4 separate regions of the Mus musculus genome follow, and all the other regions are reported to be linked to region 4. Evidence: microRNA targets listed by miRTarBase, many of them from high-throughput screens and not tested one by one. Region 4 holds a microRNA gene; each other region holds the end of a gene's coding sequence.

The links. The annotated mature microRNA mmu-miR-208a-5p reads GAGCUUUUGGCCCGGGUUAUAC and lies in region 4 at 4,770-4,791, opposite strand. An mRNA with a match to its seed (bases 2 to 7 or 8) in the 3' UTR can be bound and repressed. Matches are read on the target gene's strand: a 7mer-m8 pairs with bases 2 to 8, a 7mer-A1 pairs with bases 2 to 7 and ends in A, and an 8mer does both.
Region 1: miRTarBase lists Clmn as a target of mmu-miR-208a-5p. Seed matches in the 3' UTR shown: 7mer-m8 at 3,865-3,871 and 7mer-m8 at 5,981-5,987.
Region 2: the mRNA of Fgfr1op2 is a reported target of mmu-miR-208a-5p. Seed matches in the 3' UTR shown: 7mer-m8 at 4,674-4,680.
Region 3: miRTarBase lists Reep3 as a target of mmu-miR-208a-5p. Seed matches in the 3' UTR shown: 7mer-m8 at 2,080-2,086.

The regions. Positions count from the first base shown.
Region 1 is chr12:104,765,488-104,772,607 of GRCm38, reverse strand. Clmn (calmin) reads left to right here. Exons shown (of 14, transcript NM_053155.2): 14 at 645-7,120. The coding sequence ends at 816. Among named protein-coding and RNA genes, the nearest start is that of Dicer1, 17 kb to the right of the region's middle.
Region 2 is chr6:146,596,008-146,603,127 of GRCm38, reverse strand. Fgfr1op2 (FGFR1 oncogene partner 2) reads right to left here. Exons shown (of 7, transcript NM_026218.2): 7 at 3,930-5,833. The coding sequence ends at 5,696. Tm7sf3 (transmembrane 7 superfamily member 3) reads left to right here. Exons shown (of 12, transcript NM_026281.2): 12 at 1-852. Among named protein-coding and RNA genes, the nearest start is that of Fgfr1op2, 22 kb to the right of the region's middle.
Region 3 is chr10:67,007,726-67,014,845 of GRCm38, reverse strand. Reep3 (receptor accessory protein 3) reads left to right here. Exons shown (of 8, transcript NM_178606.5): 8 at 1,060-5,657. The coding sequence ends at 1,116. The region is part of intron 1 of Gm31763 (predicted gene, 31763); the gene reads right to left. Among named protein-coding and RNA genes, the nearest start is that of Gm31763, 6.2 kb to the right of the region's middle.
Region 4 is chr14:54,944,338-54,951,457 of GRCm38, forward strand. Mir208a (microRNA 208a) reads right to left here and starts at 4,805; the gene lies at 4,723-4,805. It overlaps Myh6 (myosin, heavy polypeptide 6, cardiac muscle, alpha), which reads right to left. Exons shown (of 39, transcript NM_001164171.1): 26 at 5,927-6,316; 27 at 5,715-5,841; 28 at 5,508-5,626; 29 at 5,001-5,197; 30 at 4,275-4,458; 31 at 3,955-4,120; 32 at 3,744-3,868; 33 at 2,577-2,885; 34 at 1,976-2,179; 35 at 324-449; 36 at 1-216. Gm52092 (a long non-coding RNA gene) reads left to right here and starts at 6,703. Exons shown (of 3, transcript XR_003950992.1): 1 at 6,703-7,120.

The DNA of each region.
Region 1 (7,120 bases), not on the chromosome of region 4:
AGCTCATACTTCAGGCTTCTGTGTATCAGTTCCCCACCCACCCCTTCCTACCTTTCCTTGGGATGGTTGGTTTTTGCCACCACCTATTCCCTCCAGTTAGCACCCCGTTCATTACCTGCCAGGCAAAAGCAACCTGGCTCACTTGTTAAACCCCCCCTCCCACCACCTAAAAGAAAGGTAACTCTGACCCAAATCAAAGCTGACAGTGCTTCTGAAGGCAACCTGTCAAAGGCAAAACTTGGGGTGACTTGACTTGTTTGTCCCCAGTAGCTGCTTTGAAATTATCAGCCAAAGTCCCTTTAGTAACTGAGGCGTAGGTAGGTGAGAGCTGGCAGTCCTACCTCCTCCTGAACTGTCCCAGGAGACCTGGCTCAGCTCTATCATGAAGTAATTGTGTGGCCTTTGACAACTGCTGCCCAATGACTGTCACTGTGGTCATTTGTGAAATGGTTGGCATGGCTCCTTCTGTTAGGGAGTGGTGATGGAGCTCCCTCTCCTGGAACACACACACACAAATGGGGACCTCCCTGATGTATTATGGGAGCCTTTATCTGCGGATGGGTTGTGGGGTTGAGGTTCAGGATGGTCTTCCAATCATAGGGACCCCACCAATAACCATCCTGTCCCTTTCTTTCCTTCTGCAGGACTGGCACCAACTCCTCTGGAGAAGCTGTGCCCCTGGGGAACCAGAGCCCGCCCAACGACTCTCTGACGCAGTTTGTACAGCAGCCCGACGTGATATATTTCATTCTCTTCCTCTGGCTCCTCGTTTACTGCTTACTGCTCTTCCCACAGCTTGATGTCAGCCGGCTCTGAAACATGTGTCTGGAGAATAAAAAGACAGGACCCTGGCCAGGGCGGAGTCTTTCTACCGCATCTTACTGTCTGTTCAGGGTTGAGCCACCTGTGCAGAGATGGAAGACGGCAGAGGGAGCACAGGCCCCACACCCCCTGTTGCTGTCCGGTTCAGTCTTTGCTCACATGTCCTCTGATTCTCTAAGCCCCCCTCCCAGCCCCCCCCCCCCCCCGAGAGCATGCTTTCTTTCCAGACTGTGTGCTCCCAGCTCAGGTTTGAGGCTGGATCTGTGGACGCGATTCCTCCTTATGTGCCTTGTTTGGTCAGATGCGAGTCCTTACTAATGTGTACCCCAAACCTGGGTCTTAACATGTGCACATGCAGGTTCCTAAGGTCCTGGAGGAGCTTGAGTTACTTCCTTTTATCTCAGGGGAGGGCCTGCCCAACTCTGAGAAAGAGCGGAGTCTGTGGTAGGAAGAACGGTACCCTGTTTGCCTTCAAGTGTGAGTGTTTGAGCGATAACCTGCCCCAGCCTGGTCATCCATTGCTGGGGACTTAAACAGCACATACCTGCCCGTTCACTGGAAATTACACCCGGCCATTGGCAGACTCCAAAGAAGAGGGTGTTTCTGCCAGGTTTGTTGTGAGCTACAACCCATTCGTCTTTCACCTTGGTGTTCTTGGAGGGTTGCGTTTTTAATTCGCCTTTTTATTGATTGAATTGAGGTACGGCTCTAGTTTTAAAACCTGCCCATCAGTAGGACCTCCTATCAGATGAAAGCCAGTCTAGATTTGCATGCAAAGCAAGGCTCTGGCTGACTGGGGTAGCCCTGACTCTCCCTTCCTCTGCTGAGTCTTCTGTATGGAACCTGTCTTTTTTGAGGGGCTGCATGAGGTTGCCCCAGGGGGCTGGAAGTGGCCCAGCCAAAATAAGCTCCCACAAATGGTGGCGCTGGGAGGGTTTCTGCAGGTTTCTGGGCTCAGGAGGCATTCGTACCTTGGCACCAGCATCCTTTGCGGTCAACCAAACAGAGATCTTGCAAAGGCTTTCTGGAAAGGACCAGGGTATAGGCTGGGGCAGGCAGGTTGCAGGAAGAGAAAGGTTTCTTTTCTCACCCTCCTGTCTTCCTCGGCCCCTACCTACCCCAGTGTCCCCTGTCCACTTTGCGAAGGCTCAAGTCTGGCAAAGCTCCAGCTTCTTCTTGCCCTTGCTATCCCTCTCAAAAAGCACACACTAGCAGGGCGTGGTGACGCACGCCTTTAATCCCAGCACCCAGGAGGCAGAGACAGGCAGATTTCTGAGTTCGAGGCCAGCCTGGTCTATAAAGTGAGTTCCAGGACAGTCAGGGCTACACAGAGAAACCCTGTCTCGAACCCCCCCCCCAAAAAAAACACACTAGGCAGCCCTTATAAAACCACAAACCGTTAGTCCAGAATGGGCCTCAGGGAGCATCTCTGAACTCAGAGAGGCAGAACAGGCTGGCCAAGGTCACACAGCCTATCACAGACTGGTCACTAGCCCCCAGGCCACTTGGCCCCCGAGTCTGGAACTATTGCTTTTTCTTTGTAGAAAACGTCCAGCCAGGTACACAAATGTCCTCACTCAAACACAGCCGTCCTTTTTAGACCTTTTATTAACCTCCAAGCTTAGCCTGGGCTCCTTCTAGAATGTTCTTGACGGCTGTAAAGGCTTATGTGTTGGTTACTACTCTTGTTGCTGTGACAAAGCAACTGAGAAAACAACTTAAGAAGAAAGGAGAGGGTCTAGGGGCTCACAGCTCCAGGATGCGATCCATCATACAGCGGGCATCGTGGCAGCAGGAATGTGAGGGGGCTAGTCATGTTGTATCGGGAGGCAGAGGAAGGGGAAGGGGGGAAAGAGTGTGTGTTAGTTCAGGTTGGGACCCCCAGTCCAGGGGATGGTGCTGCCCACATTCAGGGCAAGCCTTGCCTCTTTCTGGAAAGACCCTCAGAGTCACTTCCAGAGGTGTGTTTCCATGGATACAATGGGAATGAGGCATCACATCTTGCATCTGACATGAACGCTGCTCTTCACCCAGGAGTCATTCTCCTTAAGCAAACCAACGACTCAGACAATTTACATAGCACATTGAGTCAGGACAGTTAAAAACTTGGCTTCTCAGCCATTTTGATTGGCGTCTGCCTCCCCCTCCCCCCAAAAAAGAATTGAAGCTTTCTAAGAGGAGAGAGGTTGGGGGCTTGGAACACTTCCAGGTTAAAGGCCCAAAGCTCCAAAGAAAGTGAACGACTTAATGAGCTCCCTGGTCCCATTGGAAGTTCAAAAGTACAGATGATAAAGGTTTTATGTGTGATGTTTTATGACCTCGCACACTGCAGGGTCCTTGCCCAGATGAGGTACCAAAGAGGAGCTGGCCCAGATGTGAATCGTTTATTTTATGGGTCTAGACCTTGGTCCGAAGTCTGCGCATACTGCTTCTCTCGCCTCCTGTGGCTTAGAACAGCCTTTAAAACTACTACAGGCAAGATGCCCAAGCATCATTCGGCTCAAACTGGCAGGAAGTTGCTAGTTGAAAGGGAAAAATAATCTCACTTGAGTGTAGGGGCATGTAGAAGAGACCACTTATGGAAAGCTGCTGGCAAGCTGTTGGTCACTCGACATCTTTTAAAAAATTTATTTTTAAAGAGTGAGTGAATGTGTGTGTGTGTGTGCGCGCGCGCGCGCATGAATGCAGGTACCCATGGAGGCCCTAAGAAGGCATCAGATCCCCTCTGTGGGTATGAAGAACTGAATCAGGGTCCAGTGCAAGAGCATCATGTGCGCTTAACTACTGAATCACGTCTCCAGCCTTGCTTAGTTAGCATCTATTAAATAAGAAAGTGCTGTAGGTTTGAAACAAGGGCAGCTGCCCCTGAGGCTCATTTGTGGTCATAGTCCCTTTTGTCTACCTTTCAGCTGTTTCTCCTACTATTCCCTTCTGTGTCCTCTCTTCCTCTTCCTTCTGTGTCCTCTCTTCCTCTTCCTTCTGTGTCCCCCCCCCCTCTGTCTGTTTTTCACCAACTTTTCGAGAAATGGAATGTGAGAAATAAAAAGCTTTAGTTTTGTTTTGTTTTGTTTTGTTTTGTTTTGTTCCATGACTTAACATGTCTGTCTCCTGCCCTACTGTGTGGCTGGGTGTAGCTCCGCAGGTGGCAACATAGCCCTTGCTGCTGCTTTCCAGTGGCAGACTTAAGATTCCGATGCCGTTTCTGCCCCATGCCTTTGTACAAGACAAGGACTCTCCCTTCCCTGGTTGACATCCCCAGTCTCCTTTCTCTTGGTGGCCTGACCTGAGTGTGTCCTGTCCTTTGCTGTGGCACCTATTCTGGGTCCTCATGGGAAACTCCTTAAATCCTCTTACAATTTCTTTCTTTCTGAGCCCCTGGCTGCCCCAGTATGGGGCCTCCCTGGCTTGTCTTCTAACGTTTTTTTGTCTCTTAAATCCCTCACCTCTGTCTGTATCTGCTTCTGAGGGGATTTGCTCCATCTTCTCTTTCCAAGAATGTTTTATTTTTAGCTTCTAAGACTTCTTCCTTGTTCTCTGAGTTTTGTTGTGTAGCCTCCTGTTCTTGGTTCAGGAGTGTGAGTCTTCTTTGTGGCTGACGCAGCTGTTTGGGGGGAGGGGGGACATTGTCTGCCCTCAGATGTGCCTTTGGGTCCTCTAAGGTCCATTTTTCTCGGTTGAGCTGGGTCGCTGTCTCTCACATTGTGCACAGATACCTGCATCTACTCATGTTTCAGGGCGATACACCCAGGAGCTGGCAGGATGTTCTGACAACCATCTGGTAAGGTTCTGTCCAGTGTCGCCCAGTGAGCTGGCTTAGCTCTGAGAGGCTGCCATGTCAGTAGTTAAATGTTTCTTCTGGGGCTTATTCCATTTCCTTACAGAGCTTCCTGCCACTCCTCTGCCTGGAAAAGAGGGATACACACAGGGCTGTTAGCCCATGTAGTACACTTGTGCAATACTAGTAGTGGTCCCCCTCTGGGCAGAAGCCACCCACCATCCATATTTGGTTTAGTTGGCAGAGGACAGCTGTTTTCTCTATCTCTGAGCAGACACAGCCCTCAGGTAAGACAAAGCATGGGTTTTAACCCCCACATGCTCCCTTGGCCAGGTGCCTTAGTGTCAAGCACAAACCATAGGATGGGACCCAGATACCCCTGAGTTCTGTGTTCTGGCCTTGAAGCAGGCAGTCTCAGGAATCACTGTGTAACCACTTGAAGCTGCTCCTGCCTTGCTTCTGTCCCTGGGCTGTGCCCTGCGAGTCCTCTATGAATAGGAGGCAAGACAGTCATCTGGCTGCAATGAGAGGGCAGGAGGCCCAAGAATCAGCGCTGTATCTCACCTTGCAGTCACCATCCCAACCCACAAGCTCATCTTGGGTGCCAAGCTGGGCAGCTCCTCATTGCTGCCCCCTGCAGGCACATGGTAGGGAGGACCCTTCCCTGCCTCTTTCTCAGTGGTCTTCTTCAGCTTTGAATGGGTGGTGCCTGTGGCCTTTGGCTTATCTTTTCCAGTCCGTGGCTCTGGAACTTTCTCTTCCTTTGCACTTCTTCCGACAGGGGAAGTAGGCAAGCACAGATGCTCTGTACCCCATCCTCTGTTTAGCTTTATTACTTTTCAGTTTCATTGTTTTGGGGGGGAGGGGTTGGAGGAGTGTGGTCTTACTAAATAGTCCAGGCTGGCCTTGAACTCTTGATCCTCTTTCCCCATCTTCCCAAGTACGAGGTTACCCCGGTGCTTGGCTTTTGTGTGCCATCTTGACCCATAAATGCCTTTGGGTTTTCTGGCTGGTGGGTTAGGTGGCTCGTGACCCCACTGACTTCACTGTGAACCTGTCTTGAATGAATCTGCTGAAGCTCTGAGACATGAAGGGCCCTGGGAGCATCGGGTGGCACAAGAACGCTGCGTTCACAGGTCACGGCTCAAGGTGTTCGCCTTTCTCCCTCCTTTCAAGTGTTTCCAGCTTCTCCCACAGAACACGTAGATCTCCCAAATCCTCGCCAGATGTGGTCTGTGTGGTCACATGGATTTTAGCCCTGCTGAACCCACACCCCAGCCCTGACTCTCATGTAGGGAACAGCTTATCCACACTAGCATTTGCCAGACAGCAGACAAGGTTCTCTACCAGCTGATGTCTGGAGTTTGGGTAGAATTTCCTCCTAAAAGCTGTGGCTTTTCCTAGCTGTTGGTGACAGGACCAGGGGACTACTGGTCAGGTGTGACTTTGGAGGAGGAATGTGCTTCAACAGACTCTCTAACCCAGGCTGTGTTTCTCCACAGCTGGGCTCAGCTCAAATCCAGCAGCCCACCTGCGCTGTAAGCCATGCACCTAGAAGCCAAGGACTCTCTAAGTCCTAGTCTGTTTGGTGGCATTGGGGGCCATGTGAAGGTCCAGAGGTCCAGCACCATCTTTAGAGAAGGTGTGGAGGACCATGAGTCTTCAGCTGCAGTACCAGTCCAGACAATTCAGTAAGATGTTAAAAAAAAAAAAAGGAAAGACTCAGTACCTATCTTGCCAGTGATTTGGGGATGGCTATTCCTTCCCAATTAAAGTTTGTATAAAACTCCAGCCACCCTCAGTGAGGCCTCTGAACACCTCTGGTGCACATCTCGCCAGAAGTCAGCCAACGAGTGGATAGGATTCCTTGGAAGAACATCATGAACCTGGCTTCCATGGTGAGAACTGTTGCCTTCTGTGGATGTCATTGGCTTGGTGATGTCCGCTCCTTCGTGTGAGTTCATCTTTTCCTCAAACTCCAGAGGGTTCAGTGTAGTCTGAGGTCTGGCCTCCCTCTCCGTCTTGCATGGAGACGCTGCCCTTGGGAATCTCCACTGGCTTTCCTGTCTGGACTCTTGATGAAGCAGATGCAGCATCCAGGGACTGCAGCTGAGTAGCGGCCAAGTCTTCTAGCCTTTTGTCCTGGTGAGGCAGCTGTTCTCATGAGCACATCTGGGATCTAGGTCGAGTAGAGACTGTTGGTGTCTTTTTCTTATTGGCTGAAAATTGCTATGGAGGTTTCCCTTACCCATCACCCCAGAGCACTGTGCCTCCTTCCCCGATGACGTTCACTTGACCATGGCTTCTGCCAGCTTCTCTCTAGCCCCACACTACCAGACTTAGCGTCAGCTGCCCAGTCTTAAATCTAGCAACTTTTACAAGAGGAAGTGTTAAGCCATTGTATACTTGTAAACTCACTTGGCCCTGCCAACAGTCCAGGAAAGTGTTTCCCTTCAGGAAAGATCAAAAAAAACCACTGGACAGAAAGATAAGGTGGTCACAGCCTAGAGCCAGCTAACTCTG
Region 2 (7,120 bases), not on the chromosome of region 4:
AGCTCAGTTTATTAAAGATAATAAAACTTTTATATGAGTAAGTTATTTATAGCCCATTTTGTGTTGGGGCCATTTAGAGCAGTGTTGGCTGCTGACCCTTCTTTCTTAGGTTGCATTAGACGGTGACTGGACCGTATTTTGTCAGAGAGACATCAATGAGACCTTCCTAGCACCTGTGAAGTTGTGCTAATGATTGCTCTGTATAATCAAAGCCCCTGTGCTCTGAAGCTCAGAGGGATTGATCACTTAGCCACCACCATGGGTTCTGTAAGGAGGGACATGCTCTTGACTCCTCTGAACGGCAGGGCTGAGAACTGGCTTCCCTGACGTGTGTGGCCCACAGTGCGCTGGTTTGTCAGTGGTGTGCTTCTTAGTCTCTTCACAGCAATGACTATAGCCTTGACATTTCAGGGAGTGGGTGGAGTCTTCAGTTGTGGCTTTGAAAAAAGGTTCTGAAGTTAAAACATAATGAAAAATTATAAAATGAACCCCTTTTGGTTTATTTCTGAAAATCCTATTCTGTTATTACTACCTAGCTTCAGCAATATATATATATATTTTAATTGCTATAGGGTTTCTGGCTTGTCACATGCTTGCATTTTAGTTGTACAGATTGTTGGAGAACTATTCTTTGTACTGTCGGAACACACTGCCAGTCAGAGCTAAAAAAGGCAGAGTATGCTTTCTCGGAGGGAAATACAAAATATTTGTAAATTTTCATAATTTTTAATACCATTTGTATAATTTTTGTAATAAATACCTACTTTGAAAAAAATGCTTAATGTCCTCCTTATTAGGATGTCTCCAGGAGTTTATACCAGTCTTGTATGTACTTATATAAATTTAATCTGGAAAATACAGTTGTTTTAAGAACTTCACTTAAGGATAACAGGAAGTGAAGGGAATCCAGGGTGATATGTTATGGTTTATGTAGATTTAAATGTATTTACTCATTTTTTTTCATTATTTATTGACTTTACATCCCAATATCAGCCCCCCCCTCCCACAGCTCCTTCCCCCATCCCCTATTCTTCTCCTCAGAGGAGGAGGTCCTTTGGCTATCACCCCACCCTGGAACATCAAGTCATTGCAGGACTAGGCGCAGCTCATTGAGGCCAGACAAGGCAGCCCAGCTGGGGGAATAGAATCCACAGACAGGCAAGAGTCAGGGTAAGCCTTCCCCGCTCCACTCTGCTCCATTTGTTGGAGACCAAGCTGCACATCTGCACATATGTGTGGAGGGCCTAGGTCCAGCCCATGCTTGCTCTTTTGGTGGTGAATCAGTTTCTGGGAGCCCCCAGGGTCCAGGTGTGTTGACTCTGTTGGTCTTCCTGTCGAGTTCCTATCCCCTTTGAGCCCATCAGTACCTCAACACTTCTACAAGACTCCCTGTGCTTCATGTAACCATCTAATGTTTGGCTGTGGGTCTCTGCATCTCTTTCCATTGGCTTCTGGGTGGGACCTCTCAGAGGACAGTAATGCTAGGCTCCTGTCTGCAAGCATAAACAGAGCATCATTAATTAGTGTCAGGGACTGGTGGTTCTTGCCCATGGGATGGGTCTCAAGTTGGGCCATTCCCTTAGTCTCGCTCCATCTTTGTACACATCTTGTAGGTAGGACAAGTTTTGGGCTAAAGTTTTGTGTGTGGGTTGTTGGGAGTCCTGACTGGCTATAGGAGGTAGCCAATTCAGGCTCCATATCTCCCGCCACTATGAGTCTCAGCTAGTTACCCCCATAGACTCTCTAGCAGGTCCTGGAGATGCCCTGCCACTGCTCACCACCAATTTCTGTTCTCTTGTTTGCTCTCCCTACACCTGATTCCTACCCCCACCCCCACCCCGTTGCTTCCCCCATCCCCTTACCCAGTCAGTTCCCTCCCTCCATCCACCTCCAATATCTAATCTTCCCTAATACAGAACTAAACTGATGAGGATGTGGAGAAACATTCCTCCTTTGCTGGCTGGAGTGCAAACCTTTACAACCACTCTGGGAATCAGTTTGGTGGTTTCTCAGAAAATTGGAAATAGTTCTACCAGAAGACCCAGCTATACCGCTCTTGGGCACATATCCCAAAAGATGCTCCACCATACCACAAGGACACTTGCTCAACCATGTTCATAGCAGCCTTATTTGTAATAGCTGCTAGATGTCCCTCAACTGGGGAATGGATAAAGAAAATGTGGTTCATTCACAAATGGCCCAGGGAGTAAAGGCACCTGACCTCAAATCTGGAGACCTGAAGTCAGTCCCTGCAGCTCATAAAGGTGGAAGGAGAGGACTGTTGCCACAGAATCATCTTCTGGTCTCCAGAGCATGTGCCAAGGCATGTGTGCACTGTGGCATGTGTCCCACATGCACAGACAACTATTTATATTTAAACAATTCCTGTACAATTTCAGCTGTTCGTACATACACCTTAAAAAATAACTAGGCAGGTTTCTGACCCAGAGGAAATGTACAGTAAGTTCTGGGTCGGGAATGAGGTTGTGGGAAGAGACTGACTGGCTAGTTATATTTGTGGTTACACCTTCACTCTCCTTTAAAGATAAAGGGTAAAGATGAATGTGGCCTGGCCTGAGGATGTGCTCTGTGGTAAAGACTGTGCAAGGCCCTGCCAGGTTCTAGCTCAAATGCCTTCTCCAGATAAGAATAAGAGCTATTAAATATCTAGTGATTTAAACAAGACTCACAGCACATACAGAGGTATATATGGAATGCCTACACTGTACTGTTTTGTTTTTTTTAAATCTTCAATTTGAGTATCCACACAGATGGGAAGCAAAGGAGGCTCAGCTTAAAGCAAGCACTGGGGAAACCAGGTTAAGCACATGGGCTTGCTGAAGAAATGAATGGAGCCTAGTCACCAGAATGCTGGAGTCAAAGTGGCCAAGCCTGCTGATCCAAGTCAGCCTCCACCTGAATTTCCCCAGGATCCTGAGAACTGTTTAGGCCCTAATTCTAGGCTTTGTCACAGTGCTTTTTGTATAAGTTCGAGGAATACAAGAGCAGGCCCTCATATTTGTAGAGCAAGCACTGTCTCAACTGAGCCACCTCCCAAGCCCTGTAGGTGTGTAACTTAACACTTTTATTATGTGGCCTTTGGTTTTTCTGTTGCTTTATACTACACCAAGTGTCCTGACAATGATTTCTTAGTTTTTGTTTTTGTTCTTTTTTTTTTTTTTTGGAGACATGGTTTAGCCCTGGGTGTCCTAGAATTCATTTTGTCTACTAGGCTAGCCTCAAACTCCCAGAGATCCACCTGCTTCAGCCACACAAGTGCTGGGATCAAAGGTGTGTGCCACCACTGCCTAGCCTAAGGGTGAATGTTATTATCTACTCTGCTGTGGCTTGGACTAGGGCTAGCAGGTATGTTCCTGCATAAACAGCCAGCAGGACGTGCTAACAAATTCAATGCAAGATATAAAAGAAACTAAAGTCTAAGGTGCCCTGCAAGGATGGGGAACACTTTAGAAGTTTGGGGATGAGGAGTTTGGCTTTGGGCAATTTCAGCCTGAAATGTCTCTATGGTAGTTACACACAGATTAGTGTGGAGGTTATGAGAACTCTAAGCAGGAGCTGTAAGTCTGAGAGTCTGAGAGTCCCGGGGCATTAAAATATTATGCAGGTTATAGACTGGGTGAGACCTTGGAAAAATTGAGGGGAGTCACAGCACTATACAGGAATAAGGCATGTTATGTGCACAAACACACATGCACTCACATACCCACAAATGCACTGGCACAAACAGCCCCTCCCTCTACCCGCCCCCCCCCCCCCCAAATAGGCTGAAGAGCTGAGTATGCAGCTTAGAAGAGCTCTTGTATATAAAGTTCTGGGTTTAAACCCTAGCACCACCTATCCCCTCAGCAAAGACACAAAGTATATTTAAGAAATGTGAGCTTTGTTTTTAAATTAACCCTGAGACCAGACCAGTTTTAAACACTCATCTTTATTGACAAAATAGGCTCCTCTTCAGCACACTCTCATATGTAAGCTTAAAGCTGTTTATTTTGGGGATGGGGGTGGGGTGGAAAACTTGCTAAAAACAAAGCAAATGTCTTTCAATATTCACAACCTTAAAATTATATCCAAGAAAACAAAGGATAAATAATTTTTTATAAAAATAATTACTTCTCAAATAACGTTTCACAATAGACCTGCTCAATACATCGATCTGACTCATCTCGTCTGTGCCGCTTTTCTTCTTTTTAAAATTCTGGCCTGGGACAAAACTACATGAAAGAAAGTACCATTAAATTAAGGGTTACTTTCCAAAAAACAATAGAAAAATCTTAAAAGTAAATTCACTTATATATAAAATATTAAGGCCTCTGCATGAGAACGGTTTAACATCTGGGGAACTGGCCCTTTCCTAACTGACCTATGACCCCACTCACCTCAAACTTCAGAATGAAAGGTTCTGGAGTGAAAAGTCCTTTTAATTTTGCCAATACATGAAATTACACATAAAATTACACTGCAAAGTAATATGTACTTAACAAATGATATATTGAAAAGTCTAACTTTCTGTCTGTGCTAATTTCAGTATGGACTTCAGATACAAGTATAGTGTATTTTCAGCCATATCTCATAATCTTTTATTCTTATCACTACAGAAAAGTTTAGGTTGCAGTTGGTATGAAAGCACACTTCTGTATCCTGTGGCCTTAAGAAGCTTTTTTTTTTTTTAAAGTGCAAAGCACAATCCCTTTGTGTCCACACTTCACTGCCAGTTTCTGAGTCACAGGTTGTAGGAAAAACCTCACAGGTTATAAGAACTAGATGAGGCTTAGACTCAGACTCAGAACTTTGATTTTTGGAACCTGTATCTACTTTGTAAGTGTATGAAGAGTAATTTCTTAAATAACAATAAAGGAATTCCAAATTAACTTGGAAATGACCATACCTATCTCATTACATTAAATTGTCAACTCTTGTCTATTGGTGAACTGTCTTGTATCCTTAAACATGATGAAAAGAGGAGGAAGAACCAGGTTCATTGTTAACAGAGAACCAAAACATAATCTTTCAAAGTAGTTCAACCTACTAAATGTGTCTATATATGGCTGTCTTTCTTAGAAAGTATATTCTTTGTCTTTCTTTCCTGAGATGCATACACTTAAGCAAGTCGTGAATAACTGCTAGCTAAGAGTTATGGGAATTAGGTGTAAGTATGTTCCTTCTGTTTGTGATGCAAGTGACGTATTCCTATAGTCTTTAAACATGAACTGCCTTTGATGAGGGCCGAGCAAATGGGCAGGTGAGCACCAACTCAGCAGCTTTATGTACACAAGCTATGCCAACTCTGACACTGAACAGGAAGGTAAGACTTAGAACAAAGTCTTCCATTCAGAAAACCACACCAACCTTACTTTTAAAATTGTGATAATTTAGGCTTTCCAACATTTATTAGGAGTATTCAGGGTGATCTATGTAGCATCTAAGAAGCCAACAGCACTTCTGAAACTGCAGTGCTCAGCAGCACCTTGAAGACTCGCTGTTCACTCTGTGGCTCAGCGTCTCCTTTCTGACTGTGACTGGGATCTAGTTTATGACCACTGGTTATACATTCTGCTGCCGTCTCTTTGCCAGTGTCCCTGTACATACCAGACGGAAAAGGCTGACTGAAGTTGGGCTTTATGTTCACTCATCCACTCACTTCTGGGCCCATTCTAGTGACCGCACAGAAAGCCACTCAGCTCTTCCTCAGACTCAGGTCACTGTTAGTCACTAAGGCAGATAGAGACGTACTCTCTGACGCATCATCCTTCCGAAGGTTCAAAAAGGATTCTCGAGTTATCTGAAGGATCTCTCTCAAGCCTTTATTTTCTTGCTGTAAGAAAATAAGGAAAACCCAAGATGAGAAACATGCAGAAACAGAAACTGCTGGTTTGGCTGAGTCCCTTAAGACAGCTCCAAGAGGGATACATATTTTAAAAGCCAATTTTATGAAGTGTGGCACAGAAAGCAGACTCTATAACACATAAATGGATAGATATACTATGAGTTACAGGCAGTCACAACCTCAATCTAAACAGATTTCAAAGCCTGGTGTGGTGACACCTGCCTTTAATCCCAGCAGTTGGTAGGCAAAGGCAGGGGGATCTCTATGAATCTGAGGGCTTTCTAGTTTGCATGAGGGTTCTAGGCCAGCCAGGGCTACACAGTGAGACTTGATCTAAGAAACAAAAGACAAAGCCAGATTTCAAATGGTGTTTAAGATGCAGCATCAGTACTCAGCCTCCTCACTGCTGGAAGCCTTAAGGTGTGCAGAGGCAACAGGTGACCAGGCAGAAATCAGCTTGTTCTGCACAGACTGGAGATGATATGTGTGTATATAAAATACCCATCTACACTCGCGCTAGGGATAAGTTTATATGACTAAGACTTTGAGGTAGATTTCATCACTCAATAGAAGTTAGTAGGTATGTTTCCCTCAGCAAAATTTAAGTTCAGCCAAGACCAGCTGAGGTAATTATTTTTCAGAAAGATATGTAAATGGTTAATATTGTAAGCAATTTTGTCATTTTATAATCTATTCTCTACAGCTGTTGTGGGCTTACTTTTCAAGTCTCAATGGTCTGGCCCAAGGGTTGTTTCTGAGCATAGTTCTGACTTTCTCCTTTTGCATTACCACAACGAAGTTGAGCAGATATAAACTGACTAGTTTGCAAAGTCCAAAATGCTTTCTGGTCCTTTGCTGAGAAAGCTGACCTACCCTTATTATATAAATGGGAGAGTACTATATGCTCCAAGACAGGTAGGTTTTATGGCCATCCATAGGAAATTTCCTGATCATGATTCCAAGCAAATTGATTTAAATTGTATTTTCTGGGTGTATCTGTTCTATGTGTGTATGTACATTTGAAGACAAAAAGCTGAAGCCAGGAGTCTTCCTCTGTTGCAATCTACTTTCTTTTTTGAGATAGGGTTTCTTTTTTTTTTTTTGAGACAGGGTTTCTCTGTGTAGCCCTGGCTGTCCTGGAACTCACTTTGTAGACCAGGCTGGCCTCGAACTCAGAAATCCGCCTGCCTCTGCCTCCCGAGTGCTGGGATTAAAGGCGTGCACCACCACACCCGGCTGAGATGGGGTTTCCTGTTGAACCTGGAACTTACTGTT
Region 3 (7,120 bases), not on the chromosome of region 4:
CCTTCCTACTTTGTCATCACAGCTGTGAAGTGATCAGCGGACGAAGGATTCAAATGAGAGTGTAGCGTTATAGTTCAAATTCTTTATTAAAAGCAGGTGTATTAGGGATCTCTAGGGACAATTTTTTTTTTCCTGGAAATTTTGAAATAGGAAACTTTTTTTTATCTTGTGCTCTACATAGAAAAAGTGTCATTCCCACACAGCAAACCCCATGGCTTTTGTAAATCTCTATTGCTTTCTCTGTGCCCGAGCAGAGAAAGCTGCTGACAAAATTAACTGCATAGTTTTGCTTTCAAGAAGCCCTATGTGATGATTAAATAGTAGCAATTTACCTGTAATCACACGGTGTCGTTGGGCTAAGAAAATGAAGGAGGAGCCAGGCTCATTGACTGACTTAGTACTCAGCAAACATAAGTACTAAGTCAGTGTCTTTATCTATGATTGATAATGTCACGTGCTACACACACCCATCACATCACAAGCTACATGTCTGTGGGAGTTCTTAATAAGGAGGTTGCTTGCCAGGGAGTTGCTTTGATGGCTGGTTGACTGGTTGGTTGGTTGGTTGATTGGTTGGTTGCTTTGATGGCTGGTTGACTGGTTGGTTGGTTGGTTGGTTGGTTGGTTGATTTTTGATTGATTAATTGGTTGGTTGAATAATTGACTTGGGTGCTGTATTAGGAATTGAACAAGGACCCCATGCAGGCTATGCAAGAACGACACTTCCGAGCTACATTAGCAGCACATTTTATTTTGAGGTAAGAACTCAGTAAGTTGTCATTCTGTGGCCCAGGCCCAGGTAGATCCTGAACTTACAGTCATCAGGCTTGGGTCTCCCAAGCAGCTGACAAAGAAGCTGATTCTTTATGCCAGATGAGTAAAACCGTTACTATGGCGACAAAATATTAAAACTTTCCTAATTTTAAAAAGTAGTCAGTCCCTTTAGTTTTGTTTGTTTTAGTTTGGTTTAGCCAGTATACAGAGTAACAAATCCTTAACGGCTTTTCCATAGTCATTTTGGCTTTCCTATTGTTAACCCTAACACTTTTCTTTCTTCAGGTGCGGTATGGCTCACTAAAATATAAAGTGAAGAAGAGACCGCAAGTGTATTTTTAGTGTCTACACCTTGCCCTTCCCAAGATGAATAAACCGCTAACAGATCAACTTCATTTTCTAACCTGATGTATTCAGGGCTTAACACTTTAAATCTTCAGAGTGTGGCAGGGATGGGATTTACGCAATGACTTTAAATGGTCTGTGTTTCTTTAACAATTACTTTTAGATGTTTAACTGCTAAACTTAGTTATGTAAGGTTTGTAAATGTACGTGTAGATAACAAAAGTGACCGAGAATCGCGTCCCTGATGTCAGCAGCAACACTGAGTGCCTAGGGCCTAAGGATAAAGCCTAGCTAGACCCAGGGCAGACTTCAAAAGTCTCTGCTCCAGGACACACCTGCCTGCCGTTCTGGTGTTGCATTCTGTTTACATCATCTTGCCTGCATCTATCACAGGAGAGTGGTGACAGCCCCTGAGGAGCCAGTGTCATTGCCATAGGAGGGGGCTGTGTCCTTCCTTAAGCCTTAGACGCTGAAAGTTTTTTAAACAAATGATTTGAAAACCAGGTGTCCACATAGCACTTTCCTGGCTAGTTTTGCACACTTGAAAATTGTTTACTTATTTTACAACTGTACATTTACATTTTCCTGATGCTGTCTGTTTTGTTGTCTGTCATATTCCGACATGTCAAGATCATGCCTTGAAACCGCGTCATCTCCTTTTCCTATGGGTTTGTTTCGTTTGGTAAATCCATTCAGCCCATTATAGACACATAACTGTTAAGTTTGTAGTCTTTTGTTTTGTTTTATTGAGGTAGGGTCTCTTCCCTGATCCTCGTCCTGCTTCCACTTCGCCATTGCTGGGATAACAGACGTTATCACACTTGGCTCATTTTAAATGCCCTTCAGTTATATTCCGGACATCTGAGAAGTTATCTTAAACATTAACCAGTTTCCATCATTGAATTTGATGTGGTTTTTCTCAACAGCAAATTATTCTAGGTTATTCTAGGTTAAAAAAAAAAAAGCTTTTGGGGGCTGGAGAGGTGGCTCAGAGGTAAAGAGCACTGGCTGCTCTTCCAGAGGTCCTGAGTTCAAATCCCATCACCCACGTGGCAGCTCACAACTGTCTGCAATCCAGCTCCAAGTGATTTGACACCCTCACACAGATATGCGTACAGGCAAAACACCAATGCACATTAGATAGAGATAGATAGATAGATAGATAGATAGATAGATAGATAGATAGATAGATAGATATTAGATAGATAGATAGATAGATAGATAGATAGATAGATAGATAGATAGATAGATTGATTTTGTGGAAGCGTCACAGACCAATGTAGCACTTAGTGTTTTCTAACTCATGGACTTCCCAATGCCCACACTCAGCTCCTGAGCTCGGCAGAGGCCTATGCTGCCTTACAGACCCAGCAATGACTAACATCTTTTAGATCTTTTTCTGCCTGAGATTATTCTCTGAAAATGAGTGTCAGGGTAAAACACAAACACCATTGATGCTACGTAACAGGCTTCCAGAAAAATGCCATCTTTTATTTTATTTTATTTTATTTTATTTTTGGGTTTTTTTTTTTCGAGACAGGGTTTCTCTGTATAGCCCTGGCTCTCCTGGAACTCACTCTGGAGACCAGGCTAAAGGCCTTCTTTTTAATCTAACAGATTTAGAGGGATTGAACTCAGCTCCTTTTAGGTTGCCCTACTAACTGGACATTGTGGACACTAAATCATATTGGGGTGATGAATAATCAAATTTTCAATATCAAACAATGCTTACATGGGGGTGCCTGAATGGCCCACACACACAATGACCTCTTGATACTACGAATATTTTCTACACAGAATCACATTGTTAATATTTTTAACACGAAATAAAAATTCAATCTTTTTCCTCCCCAATTTAATCTTGTATCTCCATCTACTTTGCTTTGACTAATAGCCTCTTCCTTTCGAAAAGGATTCTTTAATTTCTATTCAAACATCTATAAAGTCCCACAATAAATTATTGGACAGGATGTATTCATTTCTCATGAACCAGACCTGCTCTGAACCAATGCTGTGCGGCATGGGTGGTTTTCCCTGCAGAGGCCGTGTTACCTGATAAGGTGATGTGATAAGTACAGTAAGTTACTTTGTCTCCATGGGGACAAATTGGCAAGATTGTATCATATTCAAGTCCAGTATCAGTATTAAACTTACCCTTAGGAGCTAAGGATAGACACCATGCTTGAGGTACACAAGGCCTTGAGTTCAATCCCAAAACCAAAAAAAAAAAAAAAAAAGATAGTTAAAACAAACTTATTATTATTTAATGAGTTTGTATACTATTTGTTTCTTCTTTTGACTTTTGTTTGTTTGGGTGGAGGGTGTTTTGTTTTGTGAGACAGAGTCTCTCTGTGTAGCCCTGGCTGTCCTGGAATTCACTCTGTAGGTCAGGCTGGCCTCAAACTCACAAAGCTCCACCTGCCGCTGCCTCCCAGATGCTGCCATTAGAGGTGTGTCCCACCATGCCCAAGTTGTTTTGAGACTAAGCCTCACTCTAGCCAGCCTGAAATGCACTGTGTAGCCCAGGCTTACTTCCAGTATATGGTCACTCTGGATGCCTCCGCCGCCTTTTTTTTTTAAATATTTTTTATTATTATGTATTTTCCTCAATTACATTTGGAATGCTATCCCAAAGGTCCCCCATACCCTCCCCCCCCCCCACTTCCCTACCCACCCATTCCCATTTTTTGGCTCTGGCATTCCCCTGTATTGGGGCATATAAAGTTTGCGTGTCCAATGGGCCTCTCTTTCCAGTGATGGCCGACTAGGCCATCTTTTGATACATATGCAGCTAGAGTCAACAACATTATGCCTCCGCCTTCTAAGTGCTGAGATTACAGGTGTGTGGCTCCATACCCTACTTCACAGGCGTTTTAAATTGGGAGAAATATCACGTTCTAGAATCAAAATTCTCAAGCAAAGATACCGCCTGACTCGGAGCTAAAGTTGGCTGACCTGCTCACTGCCGTTCACCCTCCCGGTCCTGGTCCCTGCTCGGGCTTGTCCCTGCTGTAGACATGCTCATATGCGCTTGATGACTGTCCTACCCCGCTTTGTTTCTGTCCCCAAGGTCTCATGTCATAGCATGCCCTTTTCTTTGAACTCTGTATGCTGAGCTAAAGCGCTGTTTTGTTCTGTTTCTCTTAAAGAGGACCGGGTCACCTTGTTTGTTTCTGCTTTTGAGCATGCTGATTTTTTCAAGAGATGTAAATTTATTCATAGACCACAGTGCCTTGACTTAACCCACACTGCCAACTGGAGCACCAGCACGCGAATGCACAAACCGGTTTAAGGCACTGTTTCTCTCTGCCTTTTGACATGTATCCAAAAATTATAGCCTACTAGCATTTCATCTTAGTATCCAGTCGTTCAGCATGATCACTAACATTCCCCGTACTTAGCTGTTGTTTAAGTATAAAAATTGATATGTCTATACTGTGTCTTTCTTTTTCCTTTCTGGTATTAAGAAGAGCCATAGCTGGAGAGATGGCTCTGTTTTAAGAATGCATACTGCTCTTACAGAGGACCTGGATTCAGTTCTTAGTGCCTAAGCCAGGTGTTTAGTTCACTGCAGCCTGCAGTGCCAGCTCCTGGGGGTACAATACCTTCCTCTGATTTCCAAGGGCACCTACGTGCATGTGAACATTCTTTCTCACGGATACACATACACACATCATTTGAAATTAAAAAAAAAAAATCCTGTGAAAAACAAAAAGGAACCAGAAATAAGCTGATTACTACATAAACAATTGTCTACGGCCACCTCAGTTCCTCATAGGTCCCCTCCACACACACTGTGTGTGTTTTCTAGGGCTAAAAAAATGAGATCTTGCTATCGTTTCTAGCAATAAACACTTTAGCACATAGAGGTCTGGGACAGAACTAACTCCTCATGTGTTTTCAGGGATCTTATTCCATGTGTCACCACCAAAGACTTCCACAGTATTATAAAACATGTAACTACTCTAAAATGACGTCAGCCCTTGGCTACATCGTCTTCTTTCTCTTTTGTACATTTGGAGAAATGCCTGAACCTTAATGGTATTACTATAATACTGTCTTATATTAACTGTAGGGTTTTTTCATTGGAATATTGTCTGCCATTGGAGGGGCGGGGGAGACAACGAATGAAGATCTAAATACAGAAATCTGAACACAAGTTCCAAAGCGTGTCCTCTGACCTCTCCCTTTTAGGTTGACTTATTTGTGAAACAGGTAAAATTTGAGAGGGTCATTGTTTTGTGGTTTGTACTATTTCTTAAGAAACATACCCTAAGATTAAATTTTTTCTGAAAAGAAAGTATCTTTTTTTCCTAAGTACTTCTCAAGTTAGTCTTTTAGTGGGAATTCTGCCGATTAACCTTGACTTAACATTTTTTTCCTTCTAATATATATTTTTTAACTCTGTGTACTTTAATACTTTAAGTGGAAATAATTTTATAAAATCTCTGTTAAATCTCAAGCCCCAAATGTGGGTGGCTCTGCATGTGTGTTTTGGGAAACTTTTACAATAAAGTAAACTCATTTTATTAGTGGCAGCTGAGTATTTTTTTTTCTTTATGTGTCTGAATATGTATGTTGAAGTCTGTGAATTGATGTCCTTTATTGTTCGTTATTAGTAACAGAGAACATGTCCATGTCCTTCAGCTTGCAGCAAGTCAGGACTGTTGTTACTTTCTGTAAAGCTTCACTTGGGCTGAGGAAGGAGTCCTGGGTTGTGAAGTCTGGATGCTAAGACAGAGAAGCAGGGCAGACACCACAGGAACTTTGTCACAGTGACTGACAGACTGTCTTCAGCATCGAGTGTTAACAGAAAATTCAGGTTTGTGGATGCTGAAAGTGTTCTGGAGTTCTGTCTGTCTGAAAGGCAGAGGAGGTTTGTCTGCATCGGGTTTTAACTTTAGAGATAAATCCTGATCTAAAAGCTTGGGAGGCAGAAGCAGGCAGATCTCTGAGTTCAAGGCCAGCCTGGTCTACAGAGTGAGTTCCAGGACAGCCAGGGCTATTCGGGAGAAGCCTTGTCTTGAAAAGAAAAAAGGAAAGGAAAGGAAAGGAAAGGAAAGGAAAGGAAAGGAAAGGAAAGGAAAGGAAAGGAAAGGAAAGGAAAGGAAAGGAAAGGAAAGGAAAGGAAAAATCCCTTATATTGCTTTATTATGCTATGCAGTATATGTTCATTTTCAGATAGCATTGAAAATAGCGTTATAAATTACAGTTCTTAGTCTTTTTATCAGGCTTATCCTTGTCATGGCCAAACAGGGCTATAAATTTAAACAGAAATTCAAAAGTACACAGTGAACTTGTGAAGTACTTCATTGATGTTTGTTTTTTCCCTTGGGGTTTTATTTTCCCTTGAAGTAGTTAGTTAACTGTCCTTACAGAGATGTGTGGAAAAAATCACATTAGGGACACGTTGTTCCCGGAAAGTATTGTGTTCATTTATCTGTTCATCAATCTATCTGAGTCTCGAGGCCAGCCTGGTCTATGGAGCGAGTTCCAGGACAGCCAGGGCTACACAGAGAAACCCTGTCTAAAGAAATAAATTGCTCTTTAGAAGAATGTTCTTTGAATTGGAATTATAATTACCTGCTCTGTAGGTTACTAAAGAAGTGTTCTCAACAACAGGAACTTCAGGCACCAGGCATGTATGTAGTATGTGTATGTAACCAGGCATGTATGTAGTATGTGTATGTAACCAGGCATGTATGTAGTATGTGTATGTAAATGCAGGCAAGACACTCATATGCTCTTTTTAAAAAATGGCTTTTAGAGAAAGAAGAACAGGGAAAAGGTGCCATATTAAAAAAGGGAAGGGGCTGGTGAGATGGCTCATCAGGTAAGAGCACCCGACTGCTCTTCTGAAGGTCCTGAGTTCAAATCCCAGCAACCACATGGTGGCTCACAACCATCTGTAACGAGATCTGACTCCCTCTTCTGGTGTGTCTTCAGAGACAGCTACAGTGTACTTACATATAATAAAAAATAAATAAATCTTTAAAAAAAA
Region 4 (7,120 bases):
ATTGCGCTTCTGCTCAGCCTCCAGCTCATTCTCCAGCTCCCGGACCCGGGCCTCCAGCTTCTGCAGCTGCTTCTTGCCGCCCTTGAGGGCGATCTGCTCTGCCTCGTCCAGACGGTGCTGCAAGTCCTTGATGGTCTGCTCCATGTTCTTCTTCATGCGCTCCAGGTGGGCGCTGGTGTCCTGCTCCTTCTTCAGCTCCTCAGCCATCATTGCGGCCTGTGTGTGGGAGAGGAGAGCATGTGGTCTGCTCAGGTCCTCGTGGGCTCACTGCCCAGGCTAGGGAGATGCTGCTCTGGAGTGGGTAGGCAGGGGAGGGGACTCACATCTGTGATGGCCTTCTTGGCCTTCTCCTCTGCGTTCCTACACTCCTGCACTGCCTCCTCTACTTCTGTCTGGAGTTGGGTCAGGTCTGACTCCATCTTCTTCTTCTGGTTGATGAGGCTGGTGTTCTAGAAAAAAATATCAAATGCACACTTTATTGCTTAGTTCCATAGTTTTTTTTTTTTCAGAAAAAATTAAAAGAGGCTGTTGAAAAAGAAGAAGGTGGAAGAGGATGAAGAAGAGGAAGAGGGAGAGGAGGAAGAGGAGGAGGGGTAGGAGGAGAGGGAGGAAGAGGAGCAGGAGGAGGAGGGGAAGGAGGAAGAGGAGGAAGATTGGGACGAGGAAGGGAAGGAGGAAGAGGGAGAGGGGAAAGATGAAAAAGTCATCTAAGGCTGAGGAGATGGCTCATGGCTTGGGCAGAAAATCACCTGCCACTCAAGCATGAGGGTCTGAGTTCAGATCTCCAGAACCCATGAGGAAGCTGATGTCATGGTGCACACCTGTAACCTCAGTGACCAGAGGTCAGACCCAGATGGAACTCTGAAGCTCACTGGTCAGCCCACCCATCCAGCTGGTGAGCCCCACATTCAGTGAGATAGTTAGTTCACCTCAGAAGATAAGATGGACAATGACAGAGGAAGACACCCAGTGTTAACCTCTGGCCTCCTCACACGTGCACATATATGTGCACATGTCTTGTGCACCCATGTGCACACATGTAAACATGTACAAATAACACTAATAGAAAATTAAAGAAGCCTGGCCCCCAGAATATTCTAATATGCTAAATTATGGAACAAAGCCACAGAAGGCACTGCAATAGTTCAGCACAAACACTCATCTGGAGTAGGACTGGATACAGTGGGAATGTGCATAGCAGTGTTCTTCCCATCGTTTGCCTGGCAAGAGGATGTAGTTCTGCTTCTTAAAAATGTCTTTCCCCCACCCGTGCATGTGTGTGCATGTGCACGTATGTGTATGTGTGTGCACATGTGTATGTGTGTGCATATCTGTGTATGTATGTGTGTGCATGTGCATGTATGTGTGTGTACATGTGTGTATGTGTGTGTGCATATGTGTGTATACATGTGTATGTGTGAGTGTGTATGTACATATCTGTGTGTGCACATGTAGTGTGTGTGCATGCACATGAGCATATGAGTGAATATGTACATGTGAGTACAGGTGCCCACAGAGGTCACAGGCCTCAGATCTTCTGGAATTGAGTTGTAGGAGATTGTGAGCCACCTGATTTGGGTGCTGTGGACCAAATTTTTGGGGTCCTGTGAAAGAACAGTAAACATGCTTAACTGCTGAGTCATCTCTCCAGCCCCAGTTACACATTTTTAAATTCCCCAGCTCCTATCTTTACAAATCAAGTTGGAGGCTGTCTTGTAGATCAGGGTATCAGATGACAAAAGGCAATCTGTGGTTCCCAGATTTGTGACTCACAGGTGCACTACCATTCAGCCGTGACACACTTAGCTTCTAAGTCTGTTCCTCTTGCTGGAGACAATGGTTCTCCCAGCTGCTACTAACAGATGAGAGCTGACCCAAGAAGTGAGATACTTTGCAATGCCGCTTGACTTGGTCTAAAATTATCCCGGTCTCTGACTCTCAGTGGGTTTCTGCACAGGGTCCCCAACTCTGTCACCTGCGAGTGCAGCAGCTGCACCCGCTCGCTGGTCTCAATCAGCTCCTGCTCTGCCAGCTTCCGAGACCGCTCCGTCTGCTCCACCACAGCCCGCAGCTCCTCCAGCTCCGCCTGCAGCAGGTTGTTGCGCCGTTCCACGATGGCGATGTTCTCCTTCAGGTCGTCATTGGCATGGACAGCATCATCCAGCTGGAGCTGGGTGTCCTGTGGGGAAAGTATGATGGTAAAGGGCCTGGACCTCATGCCAACAGACCTCCATCTTGAGTCTGGCACACGTCACCTCTTGTCATCAGGAAGATAAGCACCTATTTCATTATCTTACTCTCTTGTCCTGAGGCTCGACTGGTCCAGAGTGCACTGTTCCTCGTGCCTACAAACCCAGGAGGCAGAAAGTTCCCACTTTCTCATACTTACGTTAGTCCATTTATTCCCTGTCATTTACTATCTCCTATTCAAGCATTAACCAGTCTCAGCCCTCTTAGCTTCCAAGAGCAGACAAGATTGGGTTATATTCAGAGTGGTGTGTTGTGGACCTTTATCATCTTTCTGGGCACTATACATATTCTGACTTACCACTTTCTAGAGGCCTGGCTCCTGTTACCTTCAAGTGAGCTTGAGAATTCTTCAGGTGTTTCTGTGCCTCTGAGGCTATTCTATTGGCCTGGCTGAGCTGGATCTCCATCTCGTTGAGGTCGCCCTCCATCTTCTTCTTCACCCGCAGGGCCTCATTGCGGCTGCGTGTCTCCGCATCCAGGGAGGTCTGCAGGGAGTCCACCATCCGCAGGTGGTTGCGCTTGGCCTGCTCCATCTCCTCATCCTTCTCTGCCAGCTTCCTTTCGATCTCTGCCTTGATCTGGTTGAACTCCAGCTGGGCACGGAGGATCTTGCCCTCCTCGTGCTCCAGGGAGGCCTGGAAAGCGGAGAGGAGTCAGAGGTGGGTAACTAAGGCTGACTTGGGTTGGGTATGGAGAAGGAGAGGATGGCAGACTAGGACTGTGGCCTAGGAAGGTGCTGTGGTGATAGGTCCTGTACCTAGACGACTGTGGGAGAGAAAGTGCTGAGCCTCCAGGGCCTGACTCCTGGATCTTCCTCTATAAAGGAGAGGATTAGGACTTCTCTTATATTTTTCATTGTGAGCCTAGCCTTTAATGGTTGAGCCATCTCTACAGCCGAATTAAGACTTCTCAGTCATCAGGCCTTTGGGACTAACATAGCAGGAGTTCCTGACCCATCTGACTAAAAACAAAAAATCACAGTAAAGGTTGAAGTGTCTATAGCCCTAATCCCGGGCTGTCCCAAGTTCTTAGAAATGCGCAGCAAGCATGGCTAGTAAGTGCTTGACTGTGTTATTTTACTCAGTCTTCATAATTATCATATACATAATCCTATGAGGTTTATACATTAATTCCATCTTATAGATGAGGGCAGCAAGGCACACAGAGGGTCTCAAGACAGGGTTCAAACCTAGGTCATTTGACCCTGGAGCCTGTGTTCCTACCCAGTGGTTTGAGCTGATATTATGATAGCCCGATTCCAGCCAGGAAGCAAGCAAGCCTTCTGTCCTACAAACCAGACTGTGGCATTGTACAATGTGAGGAACTCAACTTTGGGGGAAGTCATTGTTCCTGGGTATCTAAGAATACCCATGGTGACTGTCTACTAAGAATGGGAGCCAATAGATTTGTGTCCTGGGGTCAGGGTGACTTCTGTGAGGCGGTAAGACAGGATACAGCAGGACAGGCTGGAGAGTGCCTAGTTAGGCCCTTACCTCAGCCTCCTCCAGGGCTGACTGCAGCTCCAGCTTCTCCACCTCCAGCTGTTTGCGGATCTTCTCCAGCTCGTGCACGTTTTTCCCCCCTTCTCCCAGCTGTTCAGTCAGGTCTGAGATCTCCTCTGAGGATCAGAGGACCAGAAAGATCAATATGCCTTGCCCCACTTCCCTTTCCCTGAGGCTCTTCCCTGTCCCCCAGCTCGCCCACCCTGGAGGTTCTTGTTCTCCCGCTTGAAGGTCTCCAGGTGCTCCAGAGACTCCTCATAGGCGTTCTTGAGCTTGAAGAGCTCTGTGCTCAGGGAGCGCGCCTCCTTCTGGGAAGACTCCAGCTCTGACTGCGACTCCTCATACTTCTGCTTCCACTCAGCCAGGATCTGCAGGGAAGGAGCGCCCTGTGACCAGAACTGCCCAGGCCCCTCTCCTGACTCAGCCCTCCTCCCCCACCTCCAAGGAACATGCTGTGGCCTTGAGCTGGCACTGACCCCACCAGCAGCATGCACAGTGTCTGCAGCCCCACCGTGAGCCTACCTTGTCAAAGTTCCTCTGCTTCTTGTCCAGGGCTGCGGCGGCGGCATTGGAGCGCTCCACGTCCACCATCAGGTCCTCGATCTCATTCTGCAGCCTGTGCTTGGTCTTCTCCAGGGAGGAACACTTGGCGTTGACGGCCTCCACTGCCTCCTCTGCATCCTGCAGCCTCTGAGCCAGCTTCTTCCTGTCCAGGGGAATGTATGTGACTGTACTTGGAGCCACAAGGACGTGAGATGATCTCCTCCTTCCGAGTGTTGATGGGAAAGACCCAGCTTCTCCCCACAGTTCCCTAAGATGTTGGAACCCCAGCCTAGAGGATGTGAGGGCTACTGGAGCCTAGAACAGAGACGTCCATCACAGGCTGCTCAGACTCTCCCACACATACATCACATCTGTGTGACTGTGCACCCCCACCCGCTTCCCTCAGGCCCAGGCTGCATGATGATAGCTCCTCTGACCAACAAGCTTTTTGCTCGTCTTATACGTGAGTGTCAGGTATAACCCGGGCCAAAAGCTCACCCGTCAAAGGAAGTAAGCAAGGGCCAGCCAGGCGTTACAGGTTGCAGGACTCAGGCTTTCTACCAAACACTCCCATGGCTCACCAGGTCTCCCCATCCTCTGTTCTCCCACCCCAAAGCTCTTTCCTGCATCTACTCTGCCTGTCTCCACAGCAGACGCTCTGCTCCATTCTCTTGGCAAATCCAGGGGCAGCCACAGTGGACTCACTTGGCTTCCTCCAGCTCCTCCGTCCTCTGTATGGCATCCGTCTCATACTTGGTCCTCCACTGGGCCACCTCTGAGTTGGCCTTGGACAGGACACGCTGTAGCTCAGCCTTGGCCTCCATTTCTTCTTCATACTGTTCCCTCAGCAGGTCACAGTCATGCCGGGATGATTGCAGTGCGTGGGCCAGGGCGTTCTTGGCCTGGGAAGAGGTGGGCATCAAGGAGATTGGAGCAAACCCAACCCTCCAGTCTCTAGATTCTTATGCGTATTTACTTCAGTCAAGACCCAGATTCACCCACATGAAGTGGAGTCTCAATGTCTTTGAGTGATTTCCATTTGCCTACCTCTCTCCTTTACCAATAAGGAGTCATTAAATGATCAGGAGGGCTGACCATTTAGTAGGGAGATAGGTTACCAGGTTACCTCTGGCATCCAGGTGCACTCTTGGAGGTAACAGTGTGTCCAGTGATGCCACGGAGTCTGTCCCACTGCCATTATATGGGCCTCACCTTGCCTTCCTCCTCCAGTTGCCTCTTGAGGTCCTCCATCTGCTGGGTGTAGGAGAGCTTGCCTCGGGTCAGCTGGGAAATCAATGCCTCCTTTTCTTCCAGTTGCCTAGCCAACTCCCCTGCAGGTGGAATGAAGGGTTCTTGGGCCATGGAAGGGGGAAACCAAAGCTACCAGGGGCAGGCTAGGGGACGGTAAGGGGCACCCACCGTTCTCTGTCTGCAGCTTGGCTCGCTGTGTGGTGAAGTCATTGAGGGAGCGCTGGGCTTCTTCCAGCTTCACGCGGTACTCATTGGCCTGGTCCTCCAGTGTCCGGGACACTTTCTCCAGGTTGGCCTGCAGGCATTAATGAGCAGAGGAAAGGTGAATGTGGAAAGGGCCACGACTGGCAGGGAGGAGGGGAGCTGCTGAGAGGGCCCACCTTGGCCTTGATGATCTGCTCCATGTTGGAGGTGACGTCATCCAGCTCCAGCTTGAACTCGCTCTTCTCTTTCTCCAGCTTCTGCTTCACCCGCTGGAGGTTGTCGATCTGCTCGCCCAGCTCCGCCACGCTGTCAGCATGCTTCTTGCGCAGGGCCGCCGCCGTGGCCTCGTGCTGCAGCGTGGCCTCCTCCAGGTCCCGCCGCATCTTCTGGAACTCGGCCTCGCGCTTCTTATTCATCTCTATCTGCACGGATGTGGCCCCGCCTGCCTCCTCCAGCCTCTCACTGATCTCCTCCAGCTCCCGGGACAGGTCAGAGCGCAGCTTCTCCACCTTAGCCCGGGCTGTGCGCTCTGCCTCCAGCTCCTCCTCCAGCTCCTCGATGCGTGCCTAGCCAGGGATACAAAGGATCAGACCTGCTTCCTGGACCCCTCCCTTGAGGCCCGTGCTCCAGGGCTCTAAAAGGCTCCCATGCGCACTAAACCTCTAGCACGGGTTTTCAGCTACTAGGTATAGCTGGTGATGGCTGGAGACATTTTAAACTGTGTGGAGGATGCTATAGAAGCAAGGGACATTGCTAAACACCCTAGAATAGAAAATTGGCCGAAGCCAAAGTTTGGAGGATTTCCCTAAAGCATCTGAGATTCAGTTTGAGCATCTGCAGCCTAAGTGTTGAGCATCTGTGTTTGGAGCGGGATCCTGAGATCTCCTGAGATTATGAACCTCAGACAGCCAACAGTTTCACCTGACTCTGATCCACTGACTATAAGGCAAGGAAATGAGCACTCGGTTTTTTTTGTTTGTTTTTTTGTTTTTTTGGTTTTTTTTTTGTTTTTTGTTTTTTTAAACTAACATTTGTAGCAAAGCTGCCTCAAGAACAACCAAATCCTACTGCAATTATCTGAGCTAACCATGAGGTCTAATCACCTAGATTCCCCATGTCATGGATTCCTTAGGTATCCTAGGTCCAGGATGTAGCTTGATTGCTCCTTTCCAAGCCAAGCTATGTATCAATAAGATGCCCTCTTCTTCATACCCCTACCTCATTGGTGTGGCCTTAGACTTGGTCCTGACTAAATCTGGAGTATGCACATTTGCCATTTTAGCCTTTTGTCTCTATAGGGAAAGTTTGTGGAATTCTCTCTCTCTCTCTCTTTTTTTTTTGGTGCAATGGACAATTTTAATGAACTACAG